4 linked regions of the Tamandua tetradactyla genome follow. The protein of the gene in region 2 interacts with the protein of the main gene of each other region in a biochemical or structural test. Links are inferred from orthologs where the notes say so. Each region holds a gene or a part of one and is shown on either strand. Other genes may lie near its edges.

Region 1 (7,027 bases), on a different chromosome or scaffold from region 2:
ACTCACTGCTGTGAAGAGGTGACTATAGAATAATAACATTTAAGAAAAACTTTTGAAGACTCTGTGTGGTTAAGAAAGGAGAAAGTTACATTTCCCACCTCCCATTTCCAAGACAGTCTTTTCTGCACTGTTAATCACCTGAGAACAAACTTAACAAGCACAACTTGTTTAGACAGATGGTAGATTTGTACTTGAAAGAAAACACACCTACTTATCTGGCAATTAGAGGATGTCAGTCAATTTACACATTAGGTAAAAGATACTGCATTCTTCCAACACCAAGGAGAAAGCATCACTGGGGTAATAAATGGGGGAGGTGGGGAGGAAGAGGCAGAGCTCTGGGGACTAAACAGACCTGGCTGAGGAGTCACCTGAGAGGCACTTGTGAAGCAGGGGACAGTGGGCACATCAAGCTTTGGGGGAGGGACACAAAAAGGGAAGATGACAACAGCAAGTTTGGCCTATTTCAACATTTAGCTCAGAGCCTTCACATACTGAGAAAGAAGAAGTAAATGTTCCCTCCTCTCTTCTCTTCTTCTCCCTTCTCTTCCCTGAGCCCTCCAAATCAAACCACTGTTATTAGTACTAGTTCTCCTACATTGGCCAACCAGGGTTTAGAAAAGCTAATCTGGAAAAGTATCACATCTTTCTTCATGAAGATGCCTTTCAAGTTTCACACAACTCTTTACAAACTTTTATAGCGGCCCCTTCCGAACTTTAAGGCTACCCACATTTTAGAAACACCCTTGAACAGATTCTGTATCTTTTTAAAATTTTATTTATTGGCATTTTTCTGTTGCACATATCACATACCACATACACAATATCTATGCAATACTGACACAGGTCAATGTCAAAAAGATTTTTCTGTTTACCCAGTTAAAATATTTTGGGCTAAACAAATTAAGACATTTGGTGGATATATGTTAGCTCTCTATGCTTTATTTTAAAAAAAGATTTAAGAGTTGGGGCTATATCTTTCATGTGGTGGTTGAAAAATTAAATTAAAAAAGCAAAAACAAGTAAAAATACAACCAGCACTGTCCTTAGGAAACCATCATCTTATAAACTAATGTTCCAAAAGATGAAGTCACCAACTTATACGCATCTCCACTTTGCACAAGATCCACACACAACTGTCAAGTGTGATAATACAGTGCAATCACATCATATCATCTCCCACAGAAGTAAATTAGTCAGGACAGGACCCAAAAAGCCCTACAGCATTTTCACATGTCATTATGATCTCATCCAAGGGAGTCAAGATATGTAAGAACCTTCCCTTGGAATATTTTAACCAAAGGTGTTTGTAAAGAAAAATTCTGTTTACTGAATACAATCTTCTCATTCCCCACCAGCAATGGAAATATTGGGACCCTCAGGCTTTTCTCTATTAAGCCACATGCTTGCTAACTTCAGGGGCAACTGGCACAGAAATCCTCATACATTTCTGGAACGCTTGCACATTGTGCCTTCTATCTGTTACTACTTAACAACATAACAAAAGTTTCTGTTGCTATTCTCTGCTGATCACAGAGTTACAAGGGTCTCTGGTCATCTGCCTTCCACTTTTCTATATTAGTCTGAATATGGTAGTGGAAGGGAAGTGCAAATGAACCTTTGCCTACCTCCCTTTAACACCTGGGCCGAAGAGAGGTCTACACTAGGCAGAATGCAAACAGGAACCCCAGGCCTTGCCCTGGACCCCTCCTACATTAAGGCCAAAGAAATGCCACCCTCCCTGCATTTCTAAGGCAAGATGCCTTGACTTTCCCTTACAAACACCTGAAGGCAACGTGCAGCGCCTCATTTGCCTCCTACCCAACTCTTTCCCAGACAGCGCTCAACAACAAGACTTAAACTAGACTTGTTTGTTTTCCAGCACCCGGTCTAAATCAGGAAACCTGCTCTCTTCTCTGCGCCCCGATCCTCTCCTTCACAGCAGTTACTACAATTTTGTAGTTACAGGTTTACGCACTAGGCTGTAAGTCTTGGAGGCCTCTGGCCAGACCTCTGTCTGGGTCGCCCGGCCGGGATCCCGGACAAAGCCTCGCGCAGCGGGTCAGCACCGAGGCTGCGCCCGTGGTCGCCACGCGCTGCCCAGCGTTTCTACTGTGCCACTCCTGGCTAGGCCGATCTTTTTTGGTGAAGCGCTAGGAACAAGACCTTCTGATATCAAATGTATAGTAAGTGCCCCTTGCGTTCATTATGAAGAATACATAATAAATAAAGACTTTTAAGTGAAAAACGCAGGATGGAGCCAAAGCAGGAACACGGAAAGCTGCCTATATATCCGTTTTATATGAGTGTACGGAAATACCAGGCAAGAAAAATCTACACATCCAAGTGCGGGGCCCTACCGTTCGCAGAGACCACTAAGGACGGCGACAGCCAGGAGGAATTTTAAGTCTCAACTTCTGCATCCCACTTTTTGTCCCGCAAGCTGGCTCTCCTCGTTTCCCTCCACGACATTGAGGACCCTCCAAACCTCCCCCTTATCTGTCAAAACGGGGCGCCGAAAAGCTGCGGGGACCGGCTCGGCCGGGAGGGGACAAAGGGCCGGGGACCCACAGACCAACCCCCCCGCGACATCATCTTACATCAACGCGGCTCGTCCAAAATGGAGGGAAACGTCCGCGATTTAAAACTGGCAGCTGCATTTCCGCAACAGGTCACCAAGCGGGCGGGGCGGGTCGGGCCTCCGCAGCCTCCGCCCGGACCGACCAGACCGGAAGGGGGAAGTGGGCGAGGTCGCGGCCAGGCCGAGAGCGGGGGTCTCCAGCCCACCCATCAGCGCCAGGACCAGGGAGACCGCCCCGCGGGCCTGCCCCCGCCCCCCTCCAAGGCTGCGCTGCGGAGAGCGGGGTGGGGGCCCACACCACGGGGAGCGGGGCGGGGGCGCTCACCTGCGCGGGGCCCCTCCGAGAGCACGATCGCCTTCGGGAGAATCGCCGAGCAACCCAGCGGCGGTTCCGCGCGCGCGACTCCACCCGGCCGCGCTCTGGCGCTCTGGCGCCCCGCGGCCCCGCGGCCCCGCGGCCCGGGCGCGCGCCGCGCCGCCCCGCCCCGCCCCGCCCCTCTGGCGGGCCGCCCAGGGCTCCCATAGGCCCCACAGGCTTTTGAATCGCCCCCAGCGCAGGCGATTGGCCGCGCGCTGTGGCGTGTCCGTCCCGCCCCGCCCGCGCAGAGGCCGCAGAGTCCCCCGCGGAGCCCTGCTGCGTTAGGCCACCGCCGGTCCCGAGCTTATCGCGGCTCTGCAGCAGACCGAGCGCGGCTCCCCCCCTTTTGCTCCCCGCCCTCGCCGTGGCCTCTGGCGATGAGCAGCGGAGGACTGGGGGGTTCGAGGTGGCTCGGCGAAAGAGGTAATAAAAAGCTATAAAGAAAATTCACACAGTGATCATTAAAGACCCACCATCCAAGCCAGAAGACGCTTCTTGCTGAAGCACGACTAGTACTCTCCTTGGCGGGTTCGGGTTGAGATCCTCCGGAGCAGCAGCGGCCCCGCAGGCCACCCGGATTCTTTGTCCCGGGGATCGATGCGTCTCGGTTGAAGAAAACCTCACCCAGGCCGCAGGCGGGTGGGCGGAGAGCGAAGGATGTCCGTGAGTTCCCTCAGGTGGGCGGCCCTCCACCACCGGTTTTGTGGAGCGGGGAATTGTTTTTAAGGGACGGACCTACCAAGAAATGAGAAAACTACTCGAAACCTATGTGGCATGGAACAGGAAATTCTACCCCTAATTCACCATGCCCTCCATCCTCAAGTCTGGTGTTGGCTGACCCGGAAAATGCTGAATCATATTGTTAACTCCAAATCTGTTATGGATCCTTTTTTCCACCAAGTTATCATAATTGGTTAGTTGATTTCCTTCCTTTGAGGTCGAGAGTTGAAAGCAGTCCATTGAAGTTCCCTATTTTGCAGTGTGGTTTTAATCAAAGTATTTCCTAACTCCTTATTTCTATTTTAGAAGCACTTACGCTTTAAAATTTTTAAAATATAATTTTAAATATAATTTTAAAATTATATAGAGTCCCCTTTTTCACCCAGTTCTAACTACAAAACACCCAAGGTTATTATTTCAAAAACAAACAAACAAAAGCTAATACATTAAGGTTTCTCAGTTCATGAGAGCGTTTCCTGAGGACAAGTTGGGAAAGGACGGTGGAAGACCAGTGGGTATATGGAGTAGGGCGGGAACTACAGAGGGAAGGAAGTGGGGAGGTTGAGGCATACTGAATTCTGTTCATCTTCCTGTTTGCTTAAGAATTTTAACTCAGTAGCTCCCTGAGCGGAGCTAAGACTCTGGAAAAGACCCCAGGGGTAAGTAATGATCCGTGAGCGTTGCCGGTCACCCTGGGCATTTGTTGCTGGCTGCAGGATTGAACCATCTCTTTCAGGAAACAAGTCTAGGTAAAAATTCAAGCGGCATGAAGAAATCAGTTGGAATCACTTGGTAACCTTTTAGAGGAACAAACTTTTATAGGCCAGAAACAGTAGAAAGCCTTCATTCATAAAGTAGTATTACCCCCGAGAGTCATGTGATAAAACTATATTTCTGATGCTGTTTGATCTGAATAGTTTGTTTACCCAGAAATGGAGTTCATGATTTACATGATGAATTATTCATCTTAATAACAATTTTTTCATTTTTATTTGACACCCACATATATATATTTGAACCACTTACTCACCTACCCCCTACACACACACACACAGTTTTCCCTTAATATTTATATCAGGCAGCAAAGGGGCAACTATTTGAATAAATTGATCCCTGTACTCTGCTATCCACACCTAAATGGAGGAACTTAAGGGGTGGGGCATGTATATGTCAACAAGTTGATGAAACAGAAAGAAATGAGGAAGCAGGATCTGGTGTATTAACTCTACCATTTATTAAGTTCTTACTTACAAGAACCCATGTGCTCTAAGTACTTCATGCATTTTAACTTATTCAACTCTCAACAACAGTCACCTAAGAGAAATACTTGATAGGTGAAAATGCTGAGGAGGCACAGTAAGGGTAAATAACCCGAGGGAGTCGGGTTCCAGTGTCTACACCAAACTATAGACTCAAACTGATTAACAAAGTACAGAGCTCTCAGAGGGCCACCCATCAGCATCATCTGGGAGCTTACTAGAAATGCGAATTCTCAGACCCACCTAATGCCTACTAAATCTGAAACTCTAGGGTGGGGCCAGCCTTCTCACCTTTAATAAGCCCTCTGGAATATCCTGTTATCAGCAGGTTCAAATTTGAGAATTCCTGGCAAAGCAAAAGGTGGTGGTTATATTAATGATTTATTTTTCTTTAAAGTTTTTTGTCTGAGGTTTTAAACCACTTAATTGTAATAGAAGGAAATACCCAAAAGCCACTCCAAGTGGCTGAGATTAGGGTCCAGAACTGATGGCCCCACAGAAGAGACTGGCAGAGAGGCAGGGATGGAGAGGTCTCAGAGATGGGCTGAGTGCCAAAGCAGCCTCCCCTTGCCATGTCTGTCAAGGCAAATGGCTGTACCACGAGGTTCATATTTGTCTGCTCTGGCAAAGAGCACTTTGTTTTTTGAAAATTCTTCATATACCAAAATTAATTAATTTCAAAGGAAATTAATTTGGTTGTTATTTTAAGAGAATTAATTAAGAGTAAATAAGGCTTAAACAGGATGAGAACCCTGAGACTCGGAAAGTTGGCTCAAGGCATAATTCAGTAAAGCCATGCTTCAAATCCAGGTCTTTTGGACTCCAAAATGCATGATTTTCCATCATAGGACCCAGAGCAGGCACCAGCCTTAGCAGGAAGGTCAACTGCGTAAGCAATGTCACCTTGATTTACATCCCTTCATGCCACACTATTGAGGAGGTCCAAAAGAGGAGCAGAATTTACTAGATTGTAATGAAAACAGATCTGTGTTCCTTGTGTTCACAGCACTTGGCACATGATAGTTAACTATTTGTGGAATTAATTGGTTGATTTCTTGATTGAGTGATTGATTGATTTAGTAGGGGAGAGAATGAATTGAGACCATTGTAAACTTGACCTGTTACATAGAAGGACGCAGTGAGAAGACAAACCTGGCTGCAGTAGTTTGATGTCCCATAATAAGAAAGATCTATAAGAACAATGTTAAAGTTCTATCATCAAAAAGCCTCTGGGACCAAATATGGAATGTTCATATGTTAAGAATGTTTGTGTTGTATGTTCATTGGTTTTATTAATAAAAACTTAAATAAAAAAAATTTTTAAAAAGCCTCTGGGAGAAATATATAATTTAATTATATCAGAAGATTCTGCTGCCTTATCTGAGTGGCTCAGAGTGCAGCATTTGAGGCCATGTGAATTCTGGTTCCTCTTGGAGCCCTGTTTCTACCAAGTTCTATAAGTTCTGATTTCCTCATCTGTAAAATGAGAATAATCAAGTACTTAACTCTACCAGGTAAGTGTGATAATTAAATACAGTTACACATCTAATGGATTTAGCACAGTGCTTGTCGATCACTTAATAAATGTTAGAAGTACAGCACGTAATAACTCAGCACAATTTTATTTTAAGTTCATTAAATCATTTTTAATCCATTGCAAATAAATTAAAGGATGTTTTCAGTATCATATGTGTCAGTACATTTTAAGACATTTGTTGGTTTTTTTCTAAGTATTTAAATCCTTTGAACCCTCCTGTAGTGCATGTTTAAACATAAAACTGTCTTCAGTCTTTTCATCTACACTATTTTAATTGAAAAAAATATTGTTCTGGTTTGCTAGCTGCCAGAATGCAATATACCAGAAATAGAATGGCTTGTAAAAAGGGGAATTTAATAAGTTGCTAGTTTACAGTTCTAAGGCCAAGAAAATGTCCTAATTACAAGTCTATAGAAATGTCCAATCAAAGGCATCCAACCAGGGAAAGATACCTTGGTTCAAGAAAGCCGATGAAGTTCAGGGTTTCTCTCTCTCTCTCTAGTGAGAAGGCACATGGTGAACACAGTCAGGGCTTCTCTCTCAGCTGGAAGGGCACATGGTGAACATGGGTC
Region 2 (7,965 bases):
ACTAATCCTCCTCAGAAGACTTTGTTCCCTGGATACCTTTCCCTCCCTTCAGCACTATTGTCAAGGACTCTCAGAATTTCCAGAACTCTCCCAGACATATAAAAATCCAGTCACTTCAGATGTTCCTTCTTTCTCTTTCCCCAACCATTATCCTGTTCACTATCTAGATAGAAGCTTTCTACTTATTAGCTTTCAGACAGATCAGGGAAAATGTGTTATTTTTCCCTTGTAGTGAATAAACCTTTTAGGTATTGCTTTGTATGCCTTAAAGCTAAGCACAAGTGTTTGAAGAATCCACTCAGAGAGGAATCTACGGACGTGGCACAATTTGGTTATCTATTTTTCATATCAAAGTTTTGGTGGGGGTTTTCCCCCCACCAAAACTGTGGTTCTATACATGGTGATAAGCTGTGAAATCAAATCAGTTCAGTAGAAAAATGGAACTTCATTTTTTACTAAATGTAATAGTATACTATAAATGAGAAATATCAGAGTGCTTTGCCCATGTATTTAGTAGAACTTGTGTACATGGACAGTGTAAAATGTATTTCTTTCTAAGTAAACATATTTCTTTTCTAAAATGTATTAAAAAGTTTTGGAGTCATTGATCAAAAAGATTCTCAGGAAAGAGGCTTAAATCAAGTGAAAACCTAAGAACCATCTATAATTTATGATTATTTTAGGAAGTCCAACAAACACAAAATATAATTAACCAATATGTTTAAAATGTAATAATCGTAAAAACCTGAACGAAATTTTCCTTTTATCCAATGGAACACTGATCAAGACTATCGGAAGAGATTATCCAAGAGCTAATTACTAGGATTTAGTGCTCCATTTACCACCAAAGGCCACTCCCTAAACACTTCAGCCACTTCTTCCCTCCTTTACCTAATTTCAAATTGTTAAAATGTTTTGACAATTCTAGCATCTGCCATATTTTAGAGCACTGATTTTCCACAGGGGAAGATTTTGAGCCCCATCTCCACCCCTCAAGACATCGGACAATGTCTAGAGACATTGTGATTGTTGCAATTTGGGGTAGGGTGAGAAGCTACTGTATTTTAGTGGGTAGAGGCCAGGCATGCTGCTAAACATCCTTCAATGCTCAAGACAGCCCTCTACAGCAAAGAATTACCCAGCTCAAAATGTCTTGTGCTGAGGCTGAATTTGAGATCAAAATAGTATTCCTTTCAAACCTAAACAAACTGGAGACAAATATCCTTAACCTCACTTCAGTTCTTAAAAAGAAAGCAGCTGCATCATTATCATACATACAATTAGGTTTGCGACCATAAAATAAACACCTTGAAGGAAATATAATCAAAAGGCAATGAATTATCTGTTTAATGGATCTTCCTTTCCCCAACAGTCTAAATATCATTCTCCTTAACTTCCTTATACAAATACAAAAATTCTCAAAAAGAACAGCAAAAAGAGGTGTTCAAAAATCTCTAGGGTTGTAAAAAATCTCTAGGGGCACTCCTCAGAAAAAAACTAAGATAAAGGACAGGGTCATGGATAATCCTTATAAAGCACTTAGCATTATGCTTAGCCCTACTAAGTACTCAAAAAAAAGTTACTTATTTTCATACCGAAAAATCACCTTAGTTAAGGGGAAAACAACACTCTTTAGAGGTTGAAAAGGGGTGGTGAGAAGTAGGTGATTATGACTGGAATACCAAAAAAAAAAAAAACCAACTGCATTTATTTTTTATTTTATTTAATTTTGGTAACATATATACAAACAATTTCTCATTTTAACCACTTTCATGTGCACAATTCAAACAATTACATTCACAATATTATGCTACCATTACCATCATATCCATGACATACCTTTATTTTTGTAAATTTAACTTTAAATTCCAAATTATTGTCCCTGCGAAGATTTAAACACTAGGGATAAACACTTAAGTGCCCACGGACCAACCCAACCCGCCCTATCCCACCGTGTTCCAAGAGATAAATAACATACTTTGGTGTCTAGCTTTCCAAAAACTTTTTCCATGGATTTATAAACGTATCTAATTTGTCCGTAAAATATGCATTATTATTTTGTAGATGTATCTCGATGTCTTTCCATAACTGTATACAGAGATGTATCTTATTCGTTTTAGCATTTTGTCAGTCTTCCTAAAGAAGCGAATTCCCAAAGTCAAAAGGCCTCCACGGCTCCCCCCAAAACCTAAAAAGTGGTGGACGATGGGGTGAAAAAAATACCAACAAACGTATGGTTTCCCTACCAAGCAAGTGAATGGGATGGAGATCTAAACTAGCATTCATTAGAAAAGACATTGTGGATAAAATACCCACTCTCGCACGCCATCACTAGCATTGATCCCCCTTCCTTGCACCCCCAAATCTCAGCCCTCCCTCTCTTGGTACGCTGATTGGACCACCAGCCCGAGCGCTTTCCTTAGGCTGTCTGCCTACTGGTTCCAGATCTGGTCCATCCATGTAGCCGCCCGACTCCCACATTCCCCATTGGAGTCGAACGGCTGCCTCTTGCAGAAGCCCAACCTACCGCGCGCTTCCTACTCATTGGCTCAGTGAAACGCTGCTCAGGAGGCGAAAACCCGTCTCCCACATTCCGATGGCCCAAAGACCGATCAGTCAGTAGGTAAAGGGAGAGCCAATAGGTCTATATACCCGCCAGTCAAACTCTTCAGCTGCCCAACTCTAAAACCCTACAGGGCTAAAACATCCCGCCCCCTGATCTTCTATTGGTTAGCTGGGCCCACCGCTCCCCCTTCCCTAACCCCCACCCCGCGATCCATTCATTTCACACAATAACGGGCCCAACTGGAGTCGGTTCAAGACCTCGTATGGCTAGACTAGATTGTCTGCCACTTACCCGGGATGTAGAGCGATCACTCACGCTAACGTCTTCTCTATCCCTCTGTGGTGAGGTCCGACTACTGGCCACAGCTGCCGCCGCCTTCTGCGCAACGCCAACCGCCCGCCAAAACGGATCCTTTCCTGCGCCTGCGCGACCAATCCTGGGACCGGACCCTTTCTCCGCCCATTGCGCCTGCGCAAAAAGGGGCAAAAAAACTCCCGCCATTACGCAGGCGCTCTAGGGTCAACGCCCTCTCCCGTCCGCCATTTCGCGTGTTCCAAGCGGCAGCCGGAACTTCTTAATGCGCCTGCGTAAACTCGCCATTTTCTTACACATGCGCTTTGAAGGGGGTTGGTGCAAAAAAAAAGGTACATGTTAACTACCTGTCTTAATACAGTATGAAGCGTGATTTTCCAAGTCAATCGAATGTAATAACTGGGGTGTTAATAATTAAAAAGCATTTTAAACAGTCTATGTACGTTCAAATATGAATGACTGGTAGGCTAGCCAATCAGACAGGTTAAGAATAATATTACTCAGGAACCAATGGATTCTAAGGGGAGGAGCTGCGTAGAACGCCCAAACGGATGACGTTGCATAGCAATGCGGCAAGACAGGCCAATCGTAGAAAGAAGTAATTTCAGATATCCAATCATAGCTAAGAGGGGGCGGAACCCACCAATGCTGAAAGTGAGGAGGCGGGATAAAAGGGAGAGGCAGAAGGTAGGTTGGCATATAGTTTCGTTAGCTTACTCCTTTCTGCTCTTGGACGCCGCTGGGGAAGCATCGTTGAAGTCATTCCTCTCACTGCCGTCATGTCCAAGTCAGAGGTAAATTCTCTTTTCAACTTCACTGTCTCTATCGACCTTTCCTAAGTTCTTTAGGATTCGGCTTCGTTTCGGTGCTTGCAGCAGCCCATCCAACGATTCCTTCCGTAGCTGCCAGGGCCTACCCCTCCCAAAGTTCGGGTCGCCATTTTGTCCTCGTCGTCGCCATGAGGCCGGTTTCCGGCAACCATTACTTATTACAACGGGCTCATGCTAACGCCTGGTAAAATACTTAGATCTGTCCAATCTTTTTGGTTTTGTTTAAGCTTGTCTCGGCGTTCTAATTTCTTGACAATTTTTCGTCCCTTACTGGCGACGCACCCCTCCCGCCCCCTGCTTTTGTTGCGCGTGCGTCGGGAGGAGAATAGGGACGCATGCGCTTATGGCCTTCCATCCGCAACAAGCCGTCCCTGAGAGGGAAAAGCACATGGTTTGTCGCGGCTTGAAAGAACAATAAGTGCAATGTATGCTAGCGGCTAATTTTGCCCCTCCTGTCTGTAAGATTTCCACTTGATACTTATCCACTCACTCCTAGTCTCCTAAAGAGCCTGAACAGCTGCGGAAGCTCTTCATCGGAGGGTTAAGCTTTGAAACAACCGATGAAAGTCTGAGGAGCCATTTTGAGCAATGGGGAACGCTCACGGACTGTGTGGTAAGACTTGGAAGGGGTAAAAAGGGTAGTAAAACCTGGTAGATGTCCTAGGGCTACACTGTTAATTTGAATGCCTATGAAGTTAATAGGATTAGTGTTTTTAAATAGATTGGTCAAGGAAGGTGTGGCTTTTTGTTAATGACTTAATTAAGGTCTCTTTTTAAAAATCTAGGGTGGTGGGAAACGAGAGTTTTATGGTCTCCCTACTATAAACTTGCCTGTTAAACGTAATCAACGTTTGACAGTTTCTGGGAACTTTAAGTCAATTAAAACCTTTCTCAGGTAATGAGAGATCCAAACACCAAACGCTCCCGAGGCTTTGGGTTTGTCACCTACGCCACTGTGGAGGAGGTGGATGCAGCCATGAATGCAAGGCCACATAAAGTGGATGGAAGAGTTGTGGAACCAAAGAGGGCTGTCTCAAGAGAAGTAAGTGTGTTTTACTTTCCTTAGTCATTTGGAAATGTGTTATTAGATGTTTCAGATTTGTGAGAGTTGTGGGATTTTTTTTTAAGTAACTGACAAGGTTTTCTTCCGGTTAGGATTCTCAAAGACCAGGTGCCCACTTAACTGTGAAAAAGATCTTTGTTGGTGGCATTAAAGAAGACACTGAAGAACATCACCTAAGAGATTATTTTGAGCAGTATGGGAAAATTGAAGTGATTGAAATCATGACCGACCGAGGCAGTGGCAAGAAGAGAGGCTTTGCTTTTGTAACCTTTGACGACCATGACTCTGTGGATAAGATTGTCAGTAAGTATCAGATGACTGAGACTAAGAGTTCCAAAATCCATGTGTTCCTTAGGGTCACCTTTTTATCTTTTCTGTTTTTAGTTCAGAAATACCATACTGTGAATGGCCATAACTGTGAAGTAAGGAAAGCCCTGTCTAAGCAAGAGATGGCCAGTGCTTCATCCAGCCAAAGAGGTCTGTGTTACTTAATTCAACCTTATTAAGTAATTCTGAGTAATCTCAATTTGTATGGCTTAACGTTTTCTTTCCTTACAAGGTCGAAGTGGTTCTGGAAACTTCGGTGGTGGTCGTGGAGGTGGTTTTGGTGGGAATGACAACTTTGGTCGTGGAGGAAATTTCAGTGGTCGTGGTATGTATGGTTGAAGTTTACTAAGAATAAGCTTGTGATTTAATTAACTCAGATAAGTGGTAGTATGTATCTACTGGCCTTTATTTTCAAAGTTACTAATTTATCCAAATGTAGTGCTTGTTTCTCCTTAACCAAAAGTTTAAAACCCTTTGGCATAGAAATTATAGTTTCTTTTTCAGAATAAGTGGTTCATATACTCAAGCCTAATTGTATTAACATTCTGCTTTCTTCTAGGTGGTTTTGGTGGCAGCCGAGGTGGTGGTGGATATGGTGGCAGTGGGGATGGCTATAATGGCTTTGGTAATGATGGTGAGTTTTAATTTAAGGAATATGTGGGTAACCTGTTTTAGATTAGGATAGTAGAGGCTAACACTAGTGCGGGACAACTTCAGTTGTCACCATAAACTGCATGTTGTGAGTGAGCCTTTGTGCTTACACAGATTTTAATAGTTGAATACTTAGAGAAGAATTGTATTCTTGTAGGTGGTTATGGAGGAGGCGGCCCTGGTTACTCTGGAGGAAGCAGAGGCTATGGAAGTGGTGGACAGGGTTATGGCAACCAGGGCAGTGGCTATGGCGGGAGTGGCAGCTATGACAGCTATAACAACGGAGGCGGCTTTGGCGGTGGTAGTGGTAGGTATCCAGTGATCAAAGTATTTGGTGTGAGGGCTAGACTAGCCTCTTAGTTTATAGCTATATTGGGATTTGATGCTCTTAAAAGGCATTAGATGATCTGCTGCATGGTATGTTTTTAAATGGGCTTGCTGTGCTACCTCCTCCTAGCTTTAAGCTGGGGCCGCCTCACTCACAAATAGATAAGTGGATAGTGATGTCTTCAGCTGGAGTTAGATTAGCTTCCATAGCAGGGTTGTATTTTAACTCTCCTTTGGGAACTTAGGTACTGGTTGAGTAATCCAAGAAAGCTGCTTATAGTGATTCAATGCCACTATAAAAACTCTGAAATCTTTTAGGTTATGGTAATTGGAACTATCTAAAGTACTGGATTGGTCAACTGAATGCCTTACCCAGAGAAGATGAAATAACAAGGATGACCAGAGCTTGGTAGTCGGGCAAATGATAAACCTTGTTTCACTTCAGAACACTAAACAGACAAAGGACTTGTTTTCTTTCCTAGGAAGCAATTTTGGAGGTGGTGGAAACTACAATGATTTTGGCAGTTACAACAATCAGTCTTCAAATTTTGGACCCATGAAGGGAGGAAATTTTGGAGGCAGAAGTTCTGGCCCCTATGGTGGTGGAGGCCAATATTTTGCCAAACCACGAAACCAAGGTATGATACAAACCTGTAGTATTGGAAGAATTAAGTATAGCTGTGCCTAGTATTGATAAGGGATGCCTTGAAGTTTTGTTTTCTTTTGTCTTATCTTTAACACAAGGTAGTATGCATAGGCTTAAAAACTTGCCTTATATATTAAAAGCTCAGATTTTAAGTATACTTGAAATGGAAAATGAACCTGTTTGTGGCTCTCTTACTGCCTCAGGCAAGGGCTATTTTTGTTTTAACAGTGCCTAAATCTTCTTAATAACGCAAGGGCTATTTTTAAGTGGTCAAACTCTTGAATAAGCTTTATTGGACATGTTATCATCCCACATACCCAAGGTTTTATTGACAAAACTTCTAAGACTTAAAAGGAATAAATTTTATTCCCAGGTGGCTATGGTGGTTCCTCCAGCAGCAGTAGCTACGGCAGTGGCAGAAGATTTTAATTCCAGGTAAGTAAGCACTTTTATGTATTGATGTGATTTTATAATCGCTAATGAATCCAGTAACCCTAATGTAGTTGAGCAGTGCAACATAGTTAACATTATAATTGCAGTAAAATTATGGATATTAAGTTAATATTCAGATCAGCAAATTTTGTGGGAAACAAAACTTGCTATTGGATTGTAGCCATGAGTTTTAATATGTTTAGATTAACAACTTTATTCCATATTGTTCAACAGGAAACAAAGCTTAGCAGGAGAGGAGAGCCAGAGAAGTGACAGGGAAGCTACAGGTTACAACAGATTTGTGAACTCAGCCAAGCACAGTGGTGGCAGGGCCTAGCTGCTACAAAGAAGACATGTTTTAGACAATACTCATGTGTATGGGCAAAAAAACACAAGGACTGTATTTGTGACTAATTGTATAACAGGTTATTTTAGTTTCTGTTCTGTGGAAAGTGTAAAGCATTCCAACAAAGGGTTTTAATGTAGATTTTTTTTTTTTGCACCCATGCTGTTGATTGCTAAATGTAATAGTCTGATCATGACGCTGAATAAATGTGTCTTTTTTTAAATGTGCTGTGTAAAGTTAGTCTACTCTGAAGCCATCTTGATAAACTCCCTAACAGTGTGAAGTTAGACTTCCTTCAGGGTGATGCCAGGTTCCATTCAAAATTCATTTACATTTATGATTTTGTGGGCAGAGAAGCTTTTTTGTCTTCAGAAACCTTGGTATAGTTGAACTGACAGTTACTGTGTTGTGACCTGGAGTTCATCAGTAAAAAGGGTCACCCAATCAAACGTACAGAATTTCATT
Region 3 (7,357 bases), on a different chromosome or scaffold from region 2:
GGGAAGCTGTGGTAGGGTCCCTTCCCGCAAGCTCCAGGAGTCGCCACGCTTGCTTGTCATCTGTCTAGGGTTGAGGTGACCTCTGTGCCAGGGTCGCACTGAGGGCAGAGGCCAAGCACGGCCAGCATGGGTGAGGCTGCACTACCTGCCGTCCTGCCCTCCCCACTGCACAGAGGCACAGAGAGGAGAAGTGGCGAAGCCAGGATTCAAACCTGGTGGTTGACTTCAGAGCCCCCCAGTGATGAAATATCCTTGGACCTCTGCTTCTTCGCTGGTAGAATGTTTTCTCAAGTGGACACTCACTCGACATACCTCATCCCTCCCCCTCTCTCCATGTATAATAAACGGCTAGGTGTTAAGGGGTAGGCCAGGGTTACTCCCCAAGGAGGGGCAGGTGTATGCAAACAATTTGTAAAGAATTATTCCTGTTGTGAGGGTGCTCACCTAAATCAATCTTTTCACCAACAGGAAGAGTTTGGGAACCACGGCACAGCCCTACAGCAGACTCTGCTGATGCTACTCCCCTGCCCCACAACCTCCAACAGCAACATCCCCAGAAAGGATGGACACGAAATGATGACTGAGGCGGAGGGAGGGATATTTATTCCTTTATAAGTGCATGTGCGCTGATTTTAAAGGAATTAAATACACACACATTATATAATCAGCACAGCAAACCTGGGGCTTCTGGGGTGTAGAGTGACTCTATGTTTTTAGTTTCTAAAACAGATGACTGACCACACACACACACACAAGATGAAGTAAACATAAAGACTAACAAACTGAGTGCTTACTACGTGCCAGGCACTCCCCCTGCTATCTCATTCACTCCCCCTCCCCAACAACCGTTTACAGGGTCACAATTTGGGGGATCAACTGTTAAGCGCCTTGCTCGAGGTCAAGCTGGGAATTTGTAGGGTGAATGTGAACCCAGGAAGTCTGAGTCCAGATTGAGCCCTCCTCACCACTACCCCACACTAATCACCAGCCCAAGATGCCCACACACCCTCAATTCCAGAGGGACCACAGTTTGGCAAACACCGGCCTGGAAACTTAAAACACTGAAACCAGCAACTAGCACTCACTGCTTACATCCCGGTCCCAGCACCATGCCAAGCCTGGGCTGCCACTGGGAACCAGGAAGGCGTGGCTCCTTCCAACAGTGCTTGGAGTGGGATGGATGTGTAATTACAAATCGGGGTGACTGCTACACGGGGAAGCAACATGGGCAGCAGACAGGTGCAACGACCCAGACCAGGCAGTCAGGGAAGGTGCCCCTAAAGCTGCATCCCTGCCAGTCAAAACCCAGCCCTGAGCATCTTCCCTGAGTATGTGTGAATGTCATCTCTTCCATGCAGCCTCCCTAAACCCTGGTTCTCCCCTCTCCCCCAGATTCTAGATAGGCTGTTAAATGATTAAACGATAAGCCAAAGTGATTTGTTCCCATACCACCCACATCTATTTAAAGGTCGGCTTCCTCTACAAGACTGGTCTTGAAAGCACCCAACCCCAAACCATCTGGCACCCAGCAGGGACTCAACCAATACTTGCTACACCATGAAAGAGGGGCATCCAACCCCAAACCATGTGGTACCCAGTAGGGACTCAACCACTATTTGCTGAACCATGAAAGAGGGGATTGAACCAGACAAATGACAATAAACAGTGCTTTCCACCCGCCACGAACCATTTTACAGGCTTCCACAACTCCATTTGTAATATTATCCCTATTTCACTAGGGAGAAGACCAGAGACTCAGAGAGATCAAGCTACTTGCCTAAGGTCACACAGCCAGGCGACTGTCAGCGCCAGGAATCACACTCAGTGGAATCCAGTCTGACAATTTACATTGAAAACTTGTTTCAAACGCTTGGGAAGTGGCTCTTGCCACTTTCTACTTTCCCGCAGGATCCACCCTCTAAACAAAAAAAAAAAAAAAGAAAAATCAAGACGGACACCAAAATACTCCCGGAAAGGTTCACGATTTAAAAAGAGCCTAAACGTTGAAAATAAATTGGGAGGGAGGGGGGAAAAAAAGGGTGCCAAACAAAACAATGCTTTCAACAGCAAACATTTCCCTCCGAGCTGCCAGGCACTTGCCGCCGCCACCCCAACTCCCCCACTTCGGGGCAAACGTTTTCAAGTCGCTACCTCCGCGGGACTGGGGGAGTCATTGACCTTTCCTGGAACACCTAGAATGCCGTGATTTTTAAATACATTTTTAGGCCGGCTTTGGGACTACACAGGGGGCTACTGATGCTCGCGTCCCGGCGGCAGCGGGCACACCTGGGTTCTTCCCGGATCGCACTGGGGTCCGACAGGTTAGAACGTAGCCAGAAAAGTCCCGACGCCTGGCTATTGTTGCAGCCGCGAAGACGGGGGATTGGACCCCGGGACGGTAGCGGGAGGCGAGCTTTGTCCAGCGACCCCGGCGGGCGCGCGCACGGGGGGGGTGGACGCGCAGTCTCCACGCGGCCCGGAGTCCCCCGCGCCCGCCCGCGGATGCTGCTGCAGCCACCGCGGCCTCGCTCCGCTATGGCCGGGCCCGCGCGCGCGGCTGCGGGCCAGGGCTTCTTGGCCCTCGGGCGCCGCCGTACTCCGGCCCCGCTCCAGGCGCCAGCGGCCCCCTCCCCCCGCGGCGCCCCGGCTCCATTCAAACCGTCTTCCCCCGCCCCGCGCGGCGCCGCTCCCCGCACCCCGCGTTCCTTACCGGGAGCCGCCGGCGGCGTCGCCTTCCCGGCACCGCCCCCGCCCCTCCGCGCGGGGCCGGGGGCAGAGTGGGCGTCTCGCCTCTCTTCACCAAACAAAGAGGCCGCCGCCGGCGCCGTCACCGAGCAAGGGGAAGCCTCGCGCGCGCGCCCGTCCGCCTCGGCCGCCCCCCCTCCACACACGCCTTCCGCGGTCCCGCTGCGCGCTCACGCGCCGACTCCCCTCCTCCCACCACGGGCGGTCGCTTGAGCTTCCGCCGCCCGCGCCAGCCTCGTGCGCGCGCCCCCGCCCTTCCGCTCCCCGTGCGCGTGCGCGCCCGCGCGAGAGCCGCGGTTGGTGGGCGGGGCCCATGGGTAGCACGCGCAGGGGACGCACCGCCCCTCTCGGGCCGGGCTGGCTCTGCGCCTGCGCCCAAGCAGTCTTCCTCCTCCGCACGCCGCGCGTCCCGACGCCGCCGAGCATGCGCGGAGCGGCCGCCACGGAGGCGGGGGCGGCGGGCGATTGGGGGATGGGATGGGTTGGGATGGGGGCGGCGGCGTGTGGTCCGCGGCGGCCGTCGGGTCTGGGGGTTCAGACGTGGAGACCCGAGGTGGGCCGGGAGGGCGGGACGCAGGCAGGCCGGGGCTGAGAACCGTCTTCATCCCTGGCCCGCGCGGCGAGGCTGGGCAGGCCCTGACCGTGGCCGTCTCCTCTGGGGCCATTCATTAGCTCGGCCAGTATTCATGGGCTGCACCGGGCCCTGCCCTGCGGCCCGGGACGGACAGAGGTCCAGCCGTCGTGGCGCTGACGGTCTAGCAGGGGAGAGACATAAGCCAAATCAAGGAGAATCTATAGCCTGTTCGGAAGACTCACGGAGGGTCGAGGGCTTGGGATGGGGGTGGCCTCGCGGCGAAGACCTTTGAGTAAAGTTAGGAAATCAGGGAGGGAGAGAGCCTGCTCCGAGCGAAGGGTCTGCAAGTAAGGCCCGTCTGTGTTTGTAAAATAGTAGCTCCAGAGCTGCCTCGTTTGGTCTCCCGAGCAGGACAAGCGCCCCCCAAGGTCACGCCCCATAGCCTGTACCGACCCTCCCCTGCTTCCCTCAGGCCGGGACTGGCTTATTTTCCTGGTCTCCGCTGGCTTTGACCCCCTCACGCCTTTCCTCGGTGTGAATCAGGGCCTCCTCTTCCCTTCCTAGCTATTTCTTGGACGCCGCTATATCGCCTGACTCTCTCGTTTAAACCCGTTTGAGTCAACATGTAGTAGTGGCGCACCCCTTCGCCTCACGACAGATACTTAAGAAAATTGTATCGAAACATAGTAGACACAGGCTGCCTGATGAGTTAGAGGACCGCACCTGCATCAGCTCCTGGGCTCTTTCCAAGGCCAAAGTGGCTGGTTTGCAGTGTAGAGCAGCAGGTGACATCTCATGCTGGAGTCAGATGATCTAGGTTTAAAACCTGCCTCCTTAACACAAATTGTGAATGTGGTTAATGCCCCTGAATACGTCCGCTTGGGAGTGGTTGAGATGGGACAGTTTACCTTGTATATGTTTCCAGGATTTAAAAAGAGAAAGAGACAATGACAATTAATTGCAAAACATGAGTATGCACTGGAAACTAATATGAACAGAAGAGAAAAATACTCAAAAGGACGTTACTGGGGCAACTGAAAAAAATTCCGACGTGGGCTATAAACTTAACATCAGCGTTAAATTTCTTGAACGTGATGACTGTACTTAAGGTGATGACATAAGTGAGAGTTCTTGGGAAATATACTTGAAAGTGTTAAGTTTTGGAGTGTGATATATGCAACAGTACTCTCAAATATTTAAAGACGGAATGCGGGAGACCCACATTCAATTCCCGATCCATGCACTTTCCAAAAAACAAACAAGCAAAACAAAAAATTCAACAAATGGTGCTACAATAACGGGATACTCATATGCATGAAATGTGACCCCACCATGCAGCATACAAAACAAAAAAAGGTAGAACAAATGTGGCAAGATGCTAAAAGTAAATCTGGGAACCTGAATGGGGGGTTCATTAGAGTTCTATGCATTGTTTTTTAATTATCCTTGCAACTTTCCTGTAAGCTATTTCACAATAAAAATTTAAAAAAACAAAACCCACCTGCATGTTGTTAGCTGGTGAAGTCAGGCAGGTTTCCTGAAGCGGTATACACCTGGGTTTCTTCCCCCTGGTAGAAGGAGAAGTGGCACCCACTCCAAAGGTTGGTGATGGGGAATCTGGGAGAGCAGGCCCCTATAGCTCTCCCTACCTTAGCTAGTGTTGTTAAGAGTAATGCACAGTAAATGTGTAACCAAGAAATGAGAATTTAAGGAATGAGTATGGTTATCAAATCATTACATGGATACTGCTTTTTGGTATATTGGAGTAGATAGAGGGAAATACCTGAAATCTTTAAACTGTAATCCAGCTGCCTTGATTGCTGGTAATGATTGTTTAACCTTTATGTTGTGCCTCTGTGGTTGTAAAAACCTTGTGACTCACCTCACTTGTACCCATTTATCCAATTTCTCAACTTTAGAGTCTTGCGATTATTAAAGACATCACCTAATGTTTATTAATGAAGGGTCCTGGGTCAGCCCAGAACTAACCCACCGCAAGTCCAGAGTTTTCCTGAAAACTGAGACTGGATCTAACCCCCTAGGCCCACCTGACATGCACAGTACCTTAGACTTTAACTTATGTCACCTGTACCTCATTATAATACTAATAAATCACACCCATTGGGCAGTGCAACAGTGGCTCAGTGGCAGAATTCTCAGCTGCCATGCCAGAGAACCCGGGTTTGATTCCCAGAGCCTGCCCATGCCAAAATAAAAAACAAAAAAACAACAAAAAAACCCCACACCCATCATCATATTAAGACTGCCATTTTCTTACATACGTTCTGTGACTAAGCATGTAATGGATCTGCGCATGCTTAATAATTAGATCACCTCTTATTATATCAGCTGGGATCATTGTGCTCATTATCCTAAAACCTGCCCATCTTTTAACATTGTAAAATGATCAGAATGAGTGCAGTTCGGGGTAACAGGTTTTTGGGCCAATGGGCCATCTGATCTCTTGCTTCGTGCCTAGCAATAAATTTTTTCTTTCTGAAACCCCAGTATCTCAGGAATTGTCATTTGAGTGCTTTGGGCAAAGGAATCCACTGCCTTTGTACGGTAACAAACGAGAGGAAATCGAGGCTTCTGCGGTTGCTGGACTGTTTTCAGTCTAGAGGCTAAGCAATCAGGTTTTTCTGTTCTGCAGGCACTACAGACCCTTTTGGTACCTTACAAAGCTTCAGAGAAAGAAACCATTTACAGATCCATGTCCGGACATCTGACTGTTTGAGTGGGTCATCAGGATAAAAGTGGATTGGGTTTTGAGAGACTGTTTTATACATATATATATAACCTATATTTAGAGATAAGAATGACATCAAACAGGTTGGGGCTAAAGTAATTCAGAACATAGGGGTAAGGAAGACAGTGTCTGTATTTTAGAACCACACATACTCTTTGAAACCAATGGAAGGAAGATTTATTTGGTCTAGAACTGAAATTTTTGGTAGTGCATAATCTAATTCAACCTATCTGCATAGCTCATTTGAACAACTGAAACACAGGAAGCACAGAATAAGAAAGCGGTCTTTTATCCTGTATAGATTACTGTAATGCCTGGAAACATCCTAGAGTATATTAAAGAGATAATCAAAAAGCATTGGCAAAGTCCCCTGAGGGAGGGGAAAAATACCATGGAACTATTAAACCTTACCATCAGGGAATCTCCTGATACTGTGTCAAACTTTAGGGACACCCAAATCAATAGGCCATGCCCTTGATCATGAGGCTTACTCTTGTGAAGCTTATGTAGGTAGCAGAGAAGCTTAGACTACCCATAGGCATGCCTCAGAGTTACTTCTGGAGGACCTCTGTTGTTGCTCGGATGTGGCCTCACTCTCTCTAAGCCCAACTCTGCAAGTGAAATCATTGCCCTCCCCACTACATGGGACATGATATCCAGGGGTGAAAGTCTTCCTGGTGACGTGGGAGATGACTCCCAGGGATGAATCCAAACCTGGCACCGTGGGATCAACAATTCCATCCTGACCAAAAGGGGGGGAAGAAGTGTAACTAATAAAGTGGCAGTGGCAGAGAGAGTTCAGATAGAGTTGAGAGGCTACTCTGGAGGTTGCTCTTATGCAAGCTTCAGGTAGACCTTGCTACCTGTCATAACCTGCCAACCCCCAACCAGGACCATTCCAGTCAATCCTAAAGAATACCTAGGGCAATATATAAGATTCCACAAGGGTTCTAGGCAGTAAAGTAACTTTCCAGAAACCTACAACCTCCAGATGCGTCCCTGGTCCAGATAAATCCTGAAACCTAGCCCAGCCGCTCCAGAACATCAGACAGTTCCATCTCCCTACCCCATATTAGTGAAAAACCCTTCCTATATAAAAAATTTAGAATTGCAATAGCCCAGACAATCCCAAAGAGAGGGGTGGAAAGATCAAAGGTGATGGTGGAATTATACATAGAAGATAGAACTTAACAAATAAATATGAATGCTGAATCATTAAATTGATATCTCTTTTAGTCTCATATTTTATTTATTTATTTATTTTAAACTTTTTTATTAATTAAAAAAAT
Region 4 (7,984 bases), on a different chromosome or scaffold from region 2:
ATTATCCCTCCCTGGCAGAAAGTTCACAGAGTCGGGGAATGCTGTCTTCTCCATTCTAAGCTCAAGCACAGGCGGGCACACTTCTTCAGGAAAGAACTCGGGCCATGTGCTGCCCGAAAATACAACATTTCTCAGGAGGACGGGCCGATGCTAAGTGCTCAGGGTGAGAGTTTGGCTTAAAAGCTGTGCGCAGTGGTGACAGATGGGCTTATTTTTCTGGCTTTCTCTTTTTTGGGGAACCCTTCACGGATGCCTATGTGTCAAGTCAATGACAATCATTGTCCTTTCTGATTATTGTCATGCCAGGTTTGGTTTCTGGGTCCTTCTAACATATCCCCACGATTCTTTGGGCACTTCCTTACTTCATGACATAAGAAGGTATTCCAGGCTCACCTGGGCTTGCTACTGCTCTGGCCCTGGAATCAGCCGTTTCTCCCAGGGCTCCTGGTGCTCTCAGCAAGGAGAGAAACCTGAGTCTGGACCCTGAGGACCTTCCCTCCTCTTCCCTCTCTGTAACCTCAGACGGTGGTCTCTGTCCTCACCTCTCCCCGCCCCGCCCCGGAACGCAGCAGGTGGGAGAGGTGCAGGTACTTCTGAATCCAGCCTGGGGCGCTCCAGGCCATCCTTCACCCCTCTCAGGGTCAGCTGTTCTGCCTTTGAAATGGGAAGTTCGGTCGGTCGGCTGAATACTGGACTTGGAAAATATCCCTGTCCTAATCCCTAGAACCTAAAGTGTTACCTGAGGAGGATCTTGTGACAGGACTCACCCTGGATTACCAGGTGGCTCTGATGCCATCATGTGTATCCCTAAGGGAGGACCTCAGGGCACAGGGAGCTCCAAGGAGGCTGGCCTTGGAGACTGCAGCGACGGGGCCAAAAGCCAAGGGGTGCCAGCCACCATTGGCACTAAAAGAGGCAGGAACCGATTCTCCTCAAGAGCCTCCCACATGCCCTGCAGTTCAGTCCTGATGAAACCTTGATTTCTACATAATGAACCTTATTTAGGACTTCTGGCCTGTGGAGCTATAAGAGAATACATTTCTGTTGCTTTAAGCTGCGTGGCCTGTGCAATTCATTACAGCAGCTTTGTTAAACTAATACCTGCTCTTCCTAACCATGTTCCACCAGGAGGCTTTGAAATGGGAATTCTCATGCTGTGTCTGCTAAGACCTTCTGTTGTCTACTCATCACACTTAGAGAAAAGCCCAGCTTGGAACCGCCAAGGGCAGGCAGTGTCCATCCAGCAGCTGTGTTTGCGACAGCACATTCAGGGCGGCCCCAAACGCAGGAAGCCCTGGCTGTACTGGAGGAGCAAGTCTGTGCATCAAGCAGGCAGAGTGCATCTGTGGTGCTCCAGGGGGGCTCCAGGGCTGCGCAGGGTGTGCCCGCCCTCCTCTGTGTCGATAACCCCACTGAGAGCTCATCGAGTCCTGCTGGCTTCCAGGCCGGGAGGCGATGGGAGTGGGAGTGACGGGTGCTGGGCTTCCTGCTGGGGTGATGAGGATGCTGTGGGAGCACACGGCAGTGACAGCTGCATGACACTGTGAATGTACCAGATGCCACTGGATGGTACGCTGCAAATGGTTAAAAAGGTAAGTTTCATGTTATGTGAATTTTACCTCAGTAAAAAAAGTAAAAATAAAAGTGTTGGAACCTACAAACAAAACGTGGCACGCTCATACAATGGGATATTATCTGTCCATAAAAGGGGATGAAGTGCTGCGCTATAGAAGGACAGCAGCATATGACCCCACTTATGTGAAAAATCTTGAGTCCACACGTTCACACAGAGAGAAATGGATGGGGTACCAGGGGCTGAGGGGAGGAGGAGCCGGGAGCTCAGTCCTAGGAAGCACCAAGCTTGTGTTTGGGGTGCTGGGAAAGTTTTGGGGATGGATGGCTGCAGGACACTATGGGTGTCAGTAATGCCACCGAGTTGTCTGCTTAAAAATGGTTAAAAGGTCAAACTTTATGGGATGTGTGTCTGTGTGTGTGCATACACACACCCACTGAAAAGTAAATTGAAAAAACAAAGTGATAGAGCCTGGCCGCATTGCAGGCTCCACACCTGCGGGCCGGGCGTTGGGCGCCCACAGGCCCAGGCCCCCAGGTACATAGCACCCACCGAGACTGCGCAGAGCTCAGGGACCGCATTAGGAGTTGGCCCAACAGAGTGGCGAGTGGTCTGCGTGGAGGGGGCAGCAGGTCACAGGCTCCGAAGTGGGCACAGCAGGCTAGGCCTTGGGGCTGGAGCAAGGCGAAGTTAGAGGTCACAGGGCTGGAGCCCAGGACTCTGGCTGGAGACTCACCCTGCATGTGCATGTGCAGCAGAGCACAGAACACAAGCTCCGCTTTCCCACTGTAGTCCACACACCTCAGGGACGTGAAGTACATTTGCAATGCTGTGCAGCTGTGACAACTACTGAGATCCAGGACAGGGTGTGACCTCCCGTCCCTGCAGTTCCCCACCAGGTAATAAACCCACGGACGTGCCTACGTGCAGCCTGAGGCTCAGGGTACCAGCGGAGGCCCCGGCTGCTGGCTGGTGGGAAGGGGTTGGCGTGAGGACACGTGGACAGCAGGGCGCTGGGAAGCATGAAGGAAGGAGAAAAAGGAACACAAACCCAAAGGGTCACTGCAAGAGCAGCTAGCCCATTGAAGCAGGAAGTAGAGTAGTGGTGCCATTGGTTGGGGAGAATGGGAGTGAGTGCCAGTGCGTAGGAGTTTGTTTTCGGGGTACTGGACAAGTTCTGGAATTAGTGATGGTTGCACAACTCTGAATACACTAAAAACCACTGAATTGTACCCTTTACATGGGCAAAATTATATGAATTATAGCTCAATAAGGCTTTTATCAAAACAAAACAACAGCTCTGAACAGCTCTGAGCCTTAATCCTGGACAGAAGTCTGAGCTGGAGTGGGGAGTCAGGGAGGAACGGCCAGTGGGTGAGAGAGGCCAGTGGGTGGGAGAACGCGGAGCCATCTCAGCACCTCAATTCACCCCCTCCAGTCTGCAAAGGGGTGTAGTGTCTGGAGGGCAGGAGGCAGCGAAGGGGAGGTCAGGGGTGTGGGGGATGCGAGAGTAGGAGGCCAGATGGACCTCTGCTCATCTCGCCTGTCTGGAAGCTCTGGCCGTCTGGTAGGTCCTCGCCTCCCAGGGCTCCTCAGGATCTAGTGAGGGAGTGGGTAGGGGCTGGAATGGAGCACAGGTGACCCTAGGGTGGCAGGGGCCTAGCCACCACCTGCCCAGGTCCTCCAGCTGCCCGGCCTGCCTCAGGGCCTTTGCACTTGGGGCTCCTGCCCTCAGGGTGTGGGGGTGTCCTGCCCTTAGGGGGCCCTCCTCTGTGCTCTTGACCATCACCTACTTATTTGGAGCAGCCTGGTTCTTCTGCCTCCGCGACCAGGCGTTTGCCGCAGGGCCCAACACGGGGCTGCCCCAGCTCCTGGGATTCGGGGGCCCAGCACGCGGCGGAGAACATATGTTACTTTTGGCAGGGGACCCACAGCTTGCGCCCAGCGCGGCCGGCCACCAATCTTCGTCCCCAACTACTAGAGAAGGGTGGGCCCGCGGTCAGGAACCTTAACGGGGAAGGAGCTGCGGGTGTGGGGTGGCCCCCGGCTCAGCCGGGCGAGGTCAGCGGGGAAACCCCACCGCGGGGGGCGTCAGGGCGCCGTTGCCGCGACCACCCGGCGGGGCGGGGCTCGGAGTTTAGGGGCCGCGCGCCGGGGCTCGAACAAAGGCAGGGGCGGGAACCAAGCCGTGCGACCCTCCCCCAGCCCCGCCGGGGAGGCCACGCCCAGTCCAGGCGCCCCGGGGAGCGGACCAGCCCCCGCCGCGGCCCCCATCCTCCCGGAAGCCTCCTCCCCGTCTGCCGCGGTGTCCGCGACTCGAGGCCGCGCCACCACCGGGGACACTGAGGCAGGCCGGGCCCTGTGCGCGCCGCGGTCACTGCAGAGCGGCCGAGACCCCCCCCGCCCCGTGGCGGTCCCTCCCGCAAGCTTCCTCCACGCCGAGTGACCCCTGCCCCTCCTCAAACAGGACCCCTCCGCCCCCTCCTCGGACAGGACCCCCGGCCCACTGTTGAGGCTCGAGACGCCCACCTGGCAGATGATGGCAAAGCATCAAAGTCAGGACGGAGGCTGGCTGGGTGACGGGGAGGGGACGCTTGGGGGGGGTCGGGTGGGATTTCACGGTTTGACTGCTTTGTTACCCCTAGGGTTTGGGGCAATTTCCTGTATTTCTCACATTTAACAATTAAAAAGGTTTAAACGACCGAGGTCCCCGCCTCCACCCACCCTTTCCGCAGGGATGGGGACCCTTCACCTCTGGCCCCGCCCCTCGCCTCGACCCCTCCCCTCGGCCCCGCCCCACGGAGCCATTGGTGACGCCACGGCTGGAGAGGTTTCGCACGTGCGCAGTACAGACGCCGGCCTCCGCGCGGCCTACAGGTGGGGCTGGGGCCTGGGGGAGCGCCCGCCCGAGCGGCGGGACGGACGTCCCGTGGCCCCGCCCCCACCGCGCGAGCCGCGCCGCGGGGCGGTGGTGGGAGGGACCAGCGCTTGCGCGTGCGTACTGACAGGTTCGCGGTCGGCTCAAGTCCCGCCCCCGGACCGCGCGACGACCAGCGCGCATGCGCAACGGCGTCGGCGCCAGTTATTTCTGTCCCGCCCCCCGGCCGCGGCTCTTTCTGCGAGCGGGCGCGCGGGCGAGCGGTTGTTCGCGTGGCGCAGGGCGGGAGCTCGACGGCGGCGGCGGCGGCGGCGGCGGCGTCGTCTGGGAGGCGGCTCGGCGGGCGGCAGCAGGCGACGGCCGGCCAGACCTCGGCGGCGCCCCGCGCGCGGCTGGCGGCGGCCCGGGCGGCGCTCGGCCTCGCGGCGGCTGCGGCGGCCCAGGCGGCGCGGCCGTTGGCGGCGATCGCGTCTGCGCCTGCGCGGCGGGCCCTGCGCCCCTCCTCCCCCCTGGGCGCCCCCGGCGGCGTGTGAATGGCGGCCTCGGCGGCGGCGGCCTCGGCCTCGGCCTCAGCGGCCACGGCGGCCTCGGCCAGCCCGGGCCCGGGCGAGGGTTCTGCGGGCGGCGAGAAGCGCGCGTCGGCCTCCGCCTCCTCGGCGGCGGCCTCGGCGTCGGCGTCGTCGCCAGCGGCGGGCGGCGGGGAGGCGCTGGAGCTGCTGGAGCACTGCGGTGTGTGCCGGGAGCGCCTGCGGCCCGAGCGAGAGCCGCGCCTGCTTCCCTGCCTGCACTCAGCCTGCAACGCCTGCCTCGGGCCCGCCGCGCCCGCCGCGGCCAACAGCTCCGGGGACAGCGGCGCGGCGGGGGACGGCGCGGGTGAGTGCGGGGGCGGGGCGGGGGACGGCCCGGGCCGAAGCGCCCCGCGGCCGCCGGCGCTTACCCTCTCCTGCTCTTCTCTGGCCTCGCAGTGGTGGACTGCCCCGTGTGCAAGCAGCAGTGTTTCTCCAAAGACATTGTGGAGAACTACTTCATGCGCGATAATGGCAGCAAGGCCGCCACCGACTCCCAGGACGCAAACCAGGTGCGTGCTGCCCCCCTGCCTTGCGGAGGGGCCTGGGGTGGCTTGCGGCCCGAATCAGCAGTGAGGGTGCCCACCGCTTCCCGGCGGGCCACCTGGCCTGGTAAAGGGATGCCCCTTCTCAGGTGGGGGTTGTTGGGATGTAGATGTGGAGCCATCTGCGGCCCCGCCCCCATGACCCCACCTTTGCACGACAGTGCTGCACCAGCTGTGAGGACAACGCGCCGGCCACCAGCTACTGTGTGGAGTGCTCTGAGCCGCTGTGCGAGACATGCGTGGAGGCGCACCAGCGGGTGAAGTACACCAAGGACCACACCGTGCGCTCCACCGGTACATGGGGTGCCTCAGGATGAACTGCCAGCAGTCCCTAATGGCAAACCTCCTTGAAAGGAGGAGGGTTGGGGTTCTGGGGGTTCGGACAGGGGCCTCGGTGCACAGGGAGCAGATAGCATTGGAGAGCCTTGCGAGAGAATGTTGTGAAGGGTCCAGGCAGGGGAGGCAGGTACAGGTGGGGAAAGCCAGTGTCCTTTGCAAAGGATGTGAGGGGCTGCCTGGACTAGGGGTTCTCTGGTACGCTGGCTTGAGGAAACACTGGGGAAATTGAGGCCTAGGGACATGGGTCTCTTGACCCAGGGTTTGTCAGTGACAGGAAGCCCCCAAAATGTCCTAGCTGTGGGATGGCAGTTTTCTGCCTACAGTCACGGGTGCTGTTTCCAGTTTCTGGGTGGCTCTAGGGTGGAAAGGGGCTCAGGAGCTCCTGAGCCTGACTTGGTGTCTGGCCCACGAGTTGGCCTGTCAGAGCTACCGTGCAGCCCGGAGTGGGCCTGAGTAGCCGAGAGGGAGGAACAGGAGTTCACATTGGGTCTTAGGTTTAGGGCAGATGTAGATGCCTTGGAGAAGGCAGCAGCTGGGACACTGAGGCCTGCTGATTTCTGTTCAAGTGACACCTGCCTTGGGCTAGGTGAGCTGTCACAGAATCGGATGTTGCAGATGGACAGAGGAGGGTCGATGTGCCGGGGCAGCTTTCTAGTAGGGTAGGTGATTTATTTTGGTCCCAGAGTGTGCTGGTCTAACATGTTCTCTCCTCAGATGAGTGGAGCCAAGAAAGGTCCCCTGTAGACTTTCAGGTTGTAAGTGGTGTGTGGCTTTGTTTTGCTCAGCTGTAAAGGGGAGGTCAGCAGACAGCTCTTGTGCATAGCAGAACATAGGCAGGGTGTTTTTGGGTCTGTTCCGTATAGGTGTTGATGCTGTAGTGGGTGAACACACTCTGCTGGGCAGATGGTGCCACGGATGGAGGAGAAAGCTCAGAGGGGGGTGTTGTCAGGAGGCCTGAGGGTAGGAGCTGTTTCGAAGTACACAGCTGGGCAGAAAGCAGTGGAGAGCACCCTTACTGTCAGTGTTCTCAGAAGTGGGAAGAGCCAGGACATCTGTCTGGCCAGGCTCGGGCATAGGGTGCTGGGGTTGCAGGCTGGTACTCCCTGCACTCCCAGCAGCATTCTGTGGGGTGCTTGAGGTGCGGGTGGCCAGAGGTGAGGGCCCATCTCATGGTGCCCGCCCTGCAGGGCCAGCCAAGTCGCGAGATGGCGAGCGCACTGTCTATTGCAACGTGCACAAGCACGAGCCACTCGTGCTGTTCTGTGAGAGCTGTGACACCCTCACCTGCCGGGACTGCCAGCTCAATGCCCACAAGGACCACCAGTGAGTCCCGTGGCTGGCCTGGGTAGGGTGGTGTGGGCTGCCTATCCCGTGTTGTGTGTCTAGCACCATGTTCCCCCTTGCCCTACAGGTATCAGTTTCTGGAGGATGCAGTGAGGAACCAGCGCAAACTCTTGGCCTCACTGGTAAAGCGCCTTGGGGACAAGCATGCAACACTGCAGAAGAGCACCAAGGAGGTTCGCAGCTCGTAAGTGGGGATGCTGGGGCTGTGGGGGGAATCTGGCCTTGTGCCCACTGGGGCTGACCCGCCCTGACCTGCCTACTGCAGGATCCGCCAGGTGTCTGACGTGCAGAAGCGCGTGCAGGTGGATGTCAAGATGGCCATCCTGCAGATCATGAAGGAGCTGAACAAGCGGGGCCGTGTGCTGGTTAACGATGCCCAGGTCTTGTCTCTCTCTCTGGGCTGGAAGGGTCCTGGGCCATCTCTCCCCTGCTGACCCCACCCCTTGCCCACTGCCCCCACCCCACAGAAGGTGACTGAGGGTCAGCAGGAGCGCCTGGAGCGGCAGCACTGGACCATGACCAAGATCCAGAAACACCAGGAACACATTCTGCGCTTCGCCTCGTGGGCCCTGGAGAGTGACAATAACACTGCCCTGTTGCTCTCTAAGAAGCTGGTGCGGGGTCGGGTGGGCCGGGAGTCTCGGTGGGCTCAGGGTGGGCAGATACCACGCTGCTGCTCACACTGCTCCCTGCCCACAGATCTACTTCCAGCTGCACCGCGCCCTCAAGATGATTGTGG

What was found.
Region 1: the proteins of CBX5 (region 2) and LBR form a complex in vitro, tested with the Homo sapiens proteins (2 studies listed by BioGRID, with this or other methods). The link is inferred for Tamandua tetradactyla from reciprocal best matches to the Homo sapiens genes CBX5 and LBR.
Region 3: the proteins of CBX5 (region 2) and SMARCA4 form a complex in vitro, tested with the Homo sapiens proteins (2 studies listed by BioGRID). The link is inferred for Tamandua tetradactyla from reciprocal best matches to the Homo sapiens genes CBX5 and SMARCA4.
Region 4: the proteins of CBX5 (region 2) and TRIM28 form a complex in vitro, tested with the Homo sapiens proteins (6 studies listed by BioGRID, with this or other methods). The link is inferred for Tamandua tetradactyla from reciprocal best matches to the Homo sapiens genes CBX5 and TRIM28.

What each region holds. Positions count from the first base shown.
Region 1 is NC_135328.1:135,680,803-135,687,829, reverse strand, and holds the start of LBR (delta(14)-sterol reductase LBR), read right to left. Parts: upstream 3,017-7,027; 5' UTR 2,907-3,016; intron 2,837-2,906; exon of another isoform or gene 2,601-2,836; intron 1-2,600. UniProt on the Homo sapiens protein: Catalyzes the reduction of the C14-unsaturated bond of lanosterol, as part of the metabolic pathway leading to cholesterol biosynthesis.
Region 2 is NC_135333.1:115,670,121-115,678,085, forward strand, and holds the start of CBX5 (chromobox protein homolog 5), read right to left. Parts: upstream 3,005-7,965; 5' UTR 2,858-3,004; intron 1-2,857. Other genes in the region: HNRNPA1 (heterogeneous nuclear ribonucleoprotein A1), read left to right, coding at 3,658-3,672, 4,205-4,321, 4,604-4,750, 4,864-5,074, 5,156-5,248, 5,331-5,423, 5,658-5,732, 5,907-6,056 and 2 more. UniProt on the Homo sapiens protein: Component of heterochromatin that recognizes and binds histone H3 tails methylated at 'Lys-9' (H3K9me), leading to epigenetic repression. In contrast, it is excluded from chromatin when 'Tyr-41' of histone H3 is phosphorylated (H3Y41ph).
Region 3 is NC_135337.1:90,868,791-90,876,147, forward strand, and holds the start of SMARCA4 (SWI/SNF-related matrix-associated actin-dependent regulator of chromatin subfamily A member 4), read right to left. Parts: upstream 3,002-7,357; 5' UTR 2,894-3,001; intron 2,828-2,893; exon of another isoform or gene 2,711-2,827; intron 2,412-2,710; exon of another isoform or gene 2,287-2,411; intron 1-2,286. UniProt on the Homo sapiens protein: ATPase involved in transcriptional activation and repression of select genes by chromatin remodeling (alteration of DNA-nucleosome topology).
Region 4 is NC_135342.1:134,515-142,498, reverse strand, and holds the start of TRIM28 (transcription intermediary factor 1-beta), read left to right. Parts: upstream 1-4,969; 5' UTR 4,970-4,984; coding exon 4,985-5,324; intron 5,325-5,416; coding exon 5,417-5,529; intron 5,530-5,723; coding exon 5,724-5,856; intron 5,857-7,088; coding exon 7,089-7,224; intron 7,225-7,312; coding exon 7,313-7,429; intron 7,430-7,510; coding exon 7,511-7,625; intron 7,626-7,712; coding exon 7,713-7,859; intron 7,860-7,944; coding exon 7,945-7,984. UniProt on the Homo sapiens protein: Nuclear corepressor for KRAB domain-containing zinc finger proteins (KRAB-ZFPs).